Linked DNA regions of Arabidopsis thaliana. The protein of the gene in region 2 purifies or fractionates together with the protein of the main gene of each other region. This does not show direct contact. Each region holds a gene or a part of one and is shown on either strand. Other genes may lie near its edges.

What was found.
Region 1: the proteins of AT2G23090 (region 2) and AT4G36430 fractionate together in Arabidopsis thaliana (co-fractionation; one large-scale study listed by BioGRID). This does not show direct contact.

What each region holds. Positions count from the first base shown.
Region 1 is NC_003075.7:17,203,760-17,207,918, reverse strand, and holds AT4G36430 (Peroxidase superfamily protein), read left to right. Parts: upstream 1-1,885; 5' UTR 1,886-2,001; coding exon 2,002-2,226; intron 2,227-2,306; coding exon 2,307-2,498; intron 2,499-2,574; coding exon 2,575-2,740; intron 2,741-2,858; coding exon 2,859-3,271; 3' UTR 3,272-3,534; downstream 3,535-4,159. Other genes in the region: AT4G36440 (G-protein coupled receptor), read left to right, coding at 44-110, 199-265, 365-418, 560-706; AT4G36420 (Ribosomal protein L12 family protein), read left to right, coding at 3,662-4,159.
Region 2 is NC_003071.7:9,828,805-9,832,464, forward strand, and holds AT2G23090 (Uncharacterized protein family SERF), read right to left. Parts: upstream 1,631-3,660; 5' UTR 1,471-1,630; coding exon 1,395-1,470; intron 1,288-1,394; coding exon 1,247-1,287; exon of another isoform or gene 999-1,246; intron 973-998; coding exon 853-972; 3' UTR 646-852; downstream 1-645. Other genes in the region: CKA3 (Protein kinase superfamily protein), read left to right, coding at 1-20, 139-202, 274-342, 480-539; AT2G23093 (Major facilitator superfamily protein), read left to right, coding at 3,389-3,587.

The DNA.
Region 1 (4,159 bases), on a different chromosome or scaffold from region 2:
TTCCCCTTGAGCTAAATATTTCCATTGCTTGATATCATTTCAGAATACAATCAAGGTAACGAAGGAGGATCAGCGAAAGGATGGGCTATATTTGGAGTTTTTTCCTGCGTGTAAGTAATGCTTTGTGATCTTCCATGCGGACATATAACTGAAGAATAAACTCAACTCATTGTGTTCTGGTGTGTTTCTTCTGATCAGATTCCTCGTTGCATCTGCACTTTTCTGCTGTGGGGGCTTTATTTATAAAACAAGAGTAGAGCGTGTGGTAATCTTCATATCTTTCTACAATTCCACTTCCATTCTCTAATTATTCTCTCACGTGATATACACACACTCAATCACTGATGTACTCGTATGGATGCAGCGTGGAACTGATGCATTGCCGGGGATGTCACTTCTATCGGGCTTACTAGAAACTGTAAGTATTACAAGAAAACTCAAAAGGATTCCATTTATGCAAAATCTAAGAGAAAGCTCACTGTGGTCTTTGGTTACAATTTATGGATCTCTCAAGAGACAAATGCTATGTAAGCTAATTGATTTTGGTCTTGATAAACAGGTGAGTGGAAGTGGACAAAGCTACTCAAGAACTGAAGACATCAACAATGCTTTTGCCAATGAAGTCTCATGGGACCGCTCTTCCGCATCTTCTACTCAAGCGACAACAACACAGAGACCAAGTGAAAGAACATATGGTGCGATCTAATTTTGTCAAGTGCCTCACAAGAGGTACTGTTTCAAGCCATGGTATGGCACGCTTGTGATCTGCGATTTCTGGATTTTGCTTTGTATGTTTATTTTCTACCTTCTAGAAAGAGGTCAAAAAGTTAATAGCTTCACCGTGAGAATGTTGTTTTCACCAGATTCATGTGCTATGATAGAAAAAGACAAAGCAAACAAGAGTTCTTTCTTTGCTTAGGTTACAAGAACAAGAGTATCGTTATAAAGTCAACAAAGATTGAAACATATTTTTGTCAAGGGAGTGGTTAGAATCTCTTCCTACTCTCTTGCCTTTCTCACTAAGACAAAAAAAAGACTTGGACTTTGTCTAAGGTTTTGTGGATATTATTAACCAAGTCCTTTTGCAAAAAGTAATATTGTTTTTTCGCATTCCTCTTTTAGAATTTAGTTTAATCTAGGCTTTATATTGGTTATTACTTTCTTGAAAAATGATCTGTTTATTCTATTCATACTTGGTTACCTCGCTTTTTATCTTACTTCTACAAAAGGATTATCAGTGAAAGTTAGTCTCTTACTCTCACCTTCCGAAAATAAAACAAAAATATCGATACTTCTAGATCAAACCAAGTTGATTAAAACATCCCTATTCCCTACGATTCTGATCTTGAGATATATTATCATGTTAAGATCTAAATTGACAAGAAAACTGATTTTTCATTTCTAGTAGGAAAAATAATTACTATTAGTGATCATGATTGTCGACCGTAAGAGGTGGTTTAGTTACTCTCCATCTTTCTTTGAAGAAGTCAGAAAGTCAGAAATTATATCAAATTAAACATCAATATTGAACACATATATCTGTATGGTTTTATGTTTAGAAAATTCCAATATTTATATATTCCTAGGGAAAAAGAAGCTTATTCTTCAAATTATTGTTATGAGTCGTTAAAATATGGATAAAAATATAAAGTCTAAATATTAAAAACTCAGTTTGCTTTGCTTTTACCTCTCCAAGTCTCCAAAGTCAAATTAATTTTAGTTAATTAAACCAAAAAAGGTTTATTAGTCAAACTTAGCATGCAATGCTGGGTACCAAACCCAAGCATTAGTCTCTTTTAATCTTCTTTTTCTCCAATAAGTTTTTACAATTTTTAATTGTTTGCATTTCCCTTGATTATTTATCTTCATCCCAATTTAGCTAATACCAACTCCGTTTCTTATTCTTCCAAGTCTTTTCCTATAAATACGTTCTTCTTCCCCTCTTATTTCATATCACTCACCACAAAGTCTTCTCATTTCCTCATCTTCTTGTTGAAAGTAATGGCAAGACTCACGAGCTTTCTCCTTCTTCTTTCTCTCATCTGCTTTGTCCCTCTCTGTCTCTGCGACAAGAGCTATGGAGGCAAACTTTTCCCGGGTTATTACGCCCATTCATGCCCACAAGTCAATGAGATCGTGAGATCAGTTGTAGCTAAAGCTGTTGCTAGAGAGACACGTATGGCTGCTTCCTTGTTGAGACTTCATTTCCACGACTGTTTCGTTCAGGTTTAGTTAATTTCTTTTACGTTTCAACATTTTATGTTGTTTTAAGTTTACTTGCTAAACAAGGTAACTGTGAAATGTAGGGTTGTGATGGCTCTTTGCTTCTAGACAGCAGTGGAAGGGTAGCGACTGAGAAAAACTCAAACCCTAACAGCAAATCAGCTCGTGGGTTTGACGTAGTTGACCAAATCAAAGCTGAACTGGAGAAACAATGCCCTGGAACTGTTTCTTGCGCTGATGTTCTTACCCTAGCCGCTAGAGACTCCTCTGTTCTTGTAAGTTTCCTCCACAATCTCTATTTTCTCGAACCAAAACTGAAACATCAGCTAACTCGGTTGGTTTTTGGTTTAGACCGGTGGACCAAGTTGGGTTGTTCCATTGGGAAGAAGAGATTCAAGAAGTGCAAGCTTGAGTCAATCGAACAACAACATCCCTGCACCAAACAACACTTTCCAGACCATTCTATCTAAGTTTAACCGTCAAGGACTTGATATCACTGACCTTGTCGCTCTCTCCGGTAAGCTTTCGTCACTCTATCACAGTTTCTTGCTTCACACACATGGAACACAATTAAAAAAAATCCATTATACATTACTTGCTTCTCAAGCCACCACACTTCTCAAATGTTATCTCAGGTAGTCACACAATCGGATTCTCGAGATGCACGAGTTTCAGACAGAGGTTGTACAACCAGTCCGGAAACGGCAGTCCAGACATGACATTGGAACAATCCTTCGCTGCTAACTTGCGCCAACGGTGTCCAAAATCCGGTGGGGACCAGATTCTCTCGGTGCTAGACATCATCAGCGCCGCGAGCTTCGACAACAGCTACTTCAAGAACTTGATAGAGAACAAGGGGTTGTTGAACTCGGACCAAGTTCTGTTCAGCAGTAACGAGAAATCGAGAGAGCTTGTGAAGAAGTATGCAGAAGATCAAGGAGAGTTTTTTGAGCAATTTGCGGAATCGATGATCAAGATGGGAAATATCTCTCCCTTGACAGGTTCTAGTGGCGAAATCAGGAAGAATTGCAGGAAGATTAACTCTTGATTGAAACAAGAAAACTCTTCTTATATCTTGTGGAACAAATGTGAGACATTTACTTTTACTTTGGAGTGTGTTTTGTTTGTTTTTTTCAATTCTGTCATTTGGAAGTTTTATTTCGTGTTATTTGCGTTGTGTTAAGACATAAGTTTGAAATTTATAAAACTTGTACGAGGAAATATTTTGAAATTATAAACTTTAAACTATTATTGGGCCTAACCGAACCTAATAATTTATGAATTCAGAAAACACTAAATCTTAAAACTGATAGGCCCATAAAGGCCCATTTCACATCCCACTAGTTAGGGTTTATGCTTTCTTCTCACATTTCAGCTTCAGATGCACTGACATGAATTCTCAACGAAGCTAAGATCAATTCGATAGAGAGTGAAAACTATGAGGAATCTGCGAATCATCTCCTCTCACTTCTCACGAGTTTTGAAATCCACCGAGACACGCTCAAGTTCCGTTCAATTATTCACGATCCAATCTCGGAGCTACTCATCTCCGGCGACGCAATCGGAGAACGTGTCCAAAATCGTCAATGAGCTATCGAATCTCACTCTTTTGGAAACAATGGATCTTACTGAGATCCTTAGGCAGAAGCTAAACATCAGTGAATTGCCTGTGATGGCGGCGATGATGCCAGGGATGTCATTACCGGGATCTGGAGCTAGTAAATCCGCCGGCGGAGAAGGGAAAGAGAAGAAGAAGGAAGCAAAGACTGCGTTTGATGTGATGCTTCAAGCGTACGATGCAGTGTCGAAGATAAAGGTGATTAAAGAAGTGAGAACGATTACGGCATTGGGGTTGAAGGAAGCGAAAGATTTGGTGGAGAAAGCTCCAACATTGTTGAAGAAAGGAGTTAGTAAGGAAGAAGCAGAGAAGATCATT
Region 2 (3,660 bases):
CTGGAAGCACTTGTTGGAAGGTTTTATTCCATCCCTGAATCTCTCTGTCTTTAAAAGTCAAAATTGTTGCTGTTCTCAACTCTGGCTCAGTTAATTTTATACCAATGAGTTAAAACCTGAAGTCACTCTTATTTGTAGACATGTCCCCAAACCATGGTCCAAGTTTATCAACGCGGACAACCAACATTTGGTCTCACCTGAGGTACTACTCTTTTTCGAAAAACATAGTTTTGCTTCGTTCTGGGTGTATTGACTCATTGTATACATCTTTAGGCAATTGATTTTCTCGATAAGCTTCTTCAGTATGATCATCAAGACAGATTAACCGCAAGAGAAGCCATGGTAAAAATCCTCTTCATGTGCACACATCTTTTGATTTTGTTTTACCCGATGATCTTCATGTGCACACATCTTTTGATTTTGTTTTACCCGATGATCAAGTCAAACTTATAATCTCTGGTTTCTCTATTGATCTATAGGATCATCCATACTTCGCTCAAGTTAAAGCCGCAGAGAGCAGCAGACTACGAACTCAGTAAAACCGAAGCTTGATTGATGATGCTTACTACTATTTTTCAACCAAAAACTTTGTAATGATTTTGTTGTATCAAAATTGTGGTAATCTTTACTTTCATAGAAACATAATCAACAGCGAAAAGAAGCCAACTTATATTAAAAAAAAAGGTTCCACACAAAGCTTCATTATATAATCATAGCAAGAGACTTATTGTTGAAACAAGTAGAGAGAAATAGAAACCATAAAATTTGTCGAGACTTTGATACAAACATAGGAAAGATGAGGATCCATACGTTATACATTGGAATCCTTTATAGTTGAGATAATAGCTTTCATCACTTCTTGAGGTGAGGGAAACAAGCGACAACATCGGCTTTCGGATGCTTCGCCTCCGCGTGCTCCCTGCATTTCACTTCCGATGTCGTGCAGATGAATGTTTGCATACAAACCTTGCACTATATAAACACACACATCAACAAATAACAAGTTAATATAACACAAAGCTTCAGGATCAACAAGAAATAACAAGTTCATTAACACAAAGCTTCAGGATCAACAAGAAATTGTGCATCAACATGAGACAATTAAACTTACGTTTCATGACTACATAAACAATTCCAAAGGACTAATAATAATTGGATTCTTATTAAGAAAAGCTGATTCTAGTAACCAATAATTGTAATATTTCGATGATTTCGAAGACGATGATATAAAGTAATAAGTGATCACCTGAATCGACATAGCTTTCTTGTTAGCTTCCAATTGGCTACCTATAAGAGAGATCAAATACAAAAATCATTAAGAAACACGATTTTACGGCTAAAATCTCCATCTTTGAAATTGACTAAAAACCCCTAAAATTGAATCTGGTTGTTACCTTTTCCTGCAGCCTTAGCCTTCTCCAAGTTTTTGGCACGAGCCATGGCTGATTTCTGTGCGTTTCCTCCACCCATCTTTCTGATCGATTAGAAGAAGAACTCAAACCCTAATTTTTCAGAAGAGGAAGAAGAGAAAAATACGAAATGGAATTTTTATGCCGACTCTAATGTGAAAAGATTTATATGAGAAAGAAAAAAACGATGCCACTTGATTCTTTTTCTGTAATGTCCACTTACATTTAATTCGCCTACTCACCAATCACCTAAAGTTATTTTGGATTCTAGATAATTCAACATAATGGGCCTTCGGACTTATTATCCATTTAAGGCCCGTTAAAACAAGAACCTTTAACGTTTAAACGACTGAGGTTTTTTTTTTTTTTTTGGTCTGAATAAATCAGTTGACCAACACACAAATATGTTTTCAATCTAAACCAAGAAAAAGATTCTTTTTTGCTAATTGATAACCTGTACAGTTTATCTTATTCAAAGGAATTGAGACACTCACTCATTCATGCAAAATGATAGGATTAATATTATTCAGGGAGTGAGTGGTTTATATTGTTAACTTCTAAAAAAACTAAAACAAAACAGAATTTACAATTAAAAAATTAAAAATAAAGGAAAATTATTTTTTTGTTGTTTTAGGACAGACTCTAGTAAATGTCAATTTTATTAGGTCTCTATAAGCTATAACCTACACGATTTATCTTCTTCAAAAAAAATGAGTCACTCACTCACACAAAATATGACCGCTTTTTATTGATTGCACGAGCTAACTACTACCTTGTCTATTGAGTATAAGAGAGCAAATGATGGTATAGCAATGAACATCGAGATGATACTAAGAAAGATTGTCCGAAGAATCTCGATAGTAGTTCGAGCTATCAAACTTTAGAGGTTTAACTCACACTAACGCTCGTTTAGTAGACAACTCGTCAGTCAATTGATTTCACCCGGCGAATGAGTGGTTTCTATTGTTAACTTCTAGAAGAATTCATTTTGATTTTTTCTAGATGATTCCGTAATTTTGACATCTAACATATGATTTCATCATATTCTTTTCGGCCAAAACATGATTCAGAAATTTTAACATAAATTCAAATTGGGCAAAAAATCAAAATTTGGAAATGATTATTTTGTAATTTCTGTTTTAAATTATTATTGTGTTTTGATGCATATGCTATAAATTTTATCTCAAAATTATGGCTTCTTGAAATCTGGATTTGAGAATCTTGCATATTTCATGTTAAACCTTGAAAAATATGCAACATCATGAATCCTCATTATCCATTAGTTCTCATAAAATCTTATCTATTTTACTGAAATTTCCTAAGTATTTGAAAGAAAAACCTACAAAATCATAATTTTCATCAACATCATGATAATTTGGATTTCGCACCAAATTCGAATTATCTTGAAAATTGAACTCCATAATCTTCTAGTATTTCCATTGGTCTCACAAAATCGTTGTGGCCAAGATAATGTTTTAGGATCGAAGAGTAATTAAAAGAGCGATAAATATTTTCTTAAAAAGATCTAAGAGAGATTCAAATATCTAAAAAATCAATTTTTCATATTTGATATACATCTTTGGCGATTAGTTGCGTTGTGGTGAATTCAAACATCTAGAAACAACCAACGTTAAATCTTTGCTATGAACTTGAATTTTTTTGTTGCACACACATATAAGAAAGAAAAAAAAAAGACTAAAAAACATGTTCAAAAAAATGTGAAAGGCGATGTCAATGGTCAAGAAATATTATACAAAAACAAATTGTAACAAAATTTTGTGTAGCTTACTTCAACTTAAGACTATTTTTTGGGTGGGATAGTTATTGGGCCTTTTGGCCTGATAATAATATTGGGCTTCATTTCTTTTTGTGCACCACTTACATCAGTCAAGATCTCAAATTCTCTCCGACGTAATTGAGTTTTTTTGTTTGTTCTTTTACTTCTTTCTCCGGCTGATTTACCGGTGAATTTTGGATCGATGGGTGTCGTTATTGAGACCTTTATTTGGGAACCAAGCTCAAGCTTCTTCATCTTCTTCTTCGTTTCCACATTTTTATCGATATCTCTGTTTCCTTACTTGGCCAAAAACAGAACTTTTGGTAGCTTTGATCATTCTATTTCCTCTTCTTTCGCTCGGTTCCAGAGATGGTTTCTAGCTATCTACACTCTCTCTTCAGGTACATCATTAGATTTCTTCAGTTGGGTCTACAGATTTTTATCTGTATCTATGGTGCTTTCAATTTCTGGTTT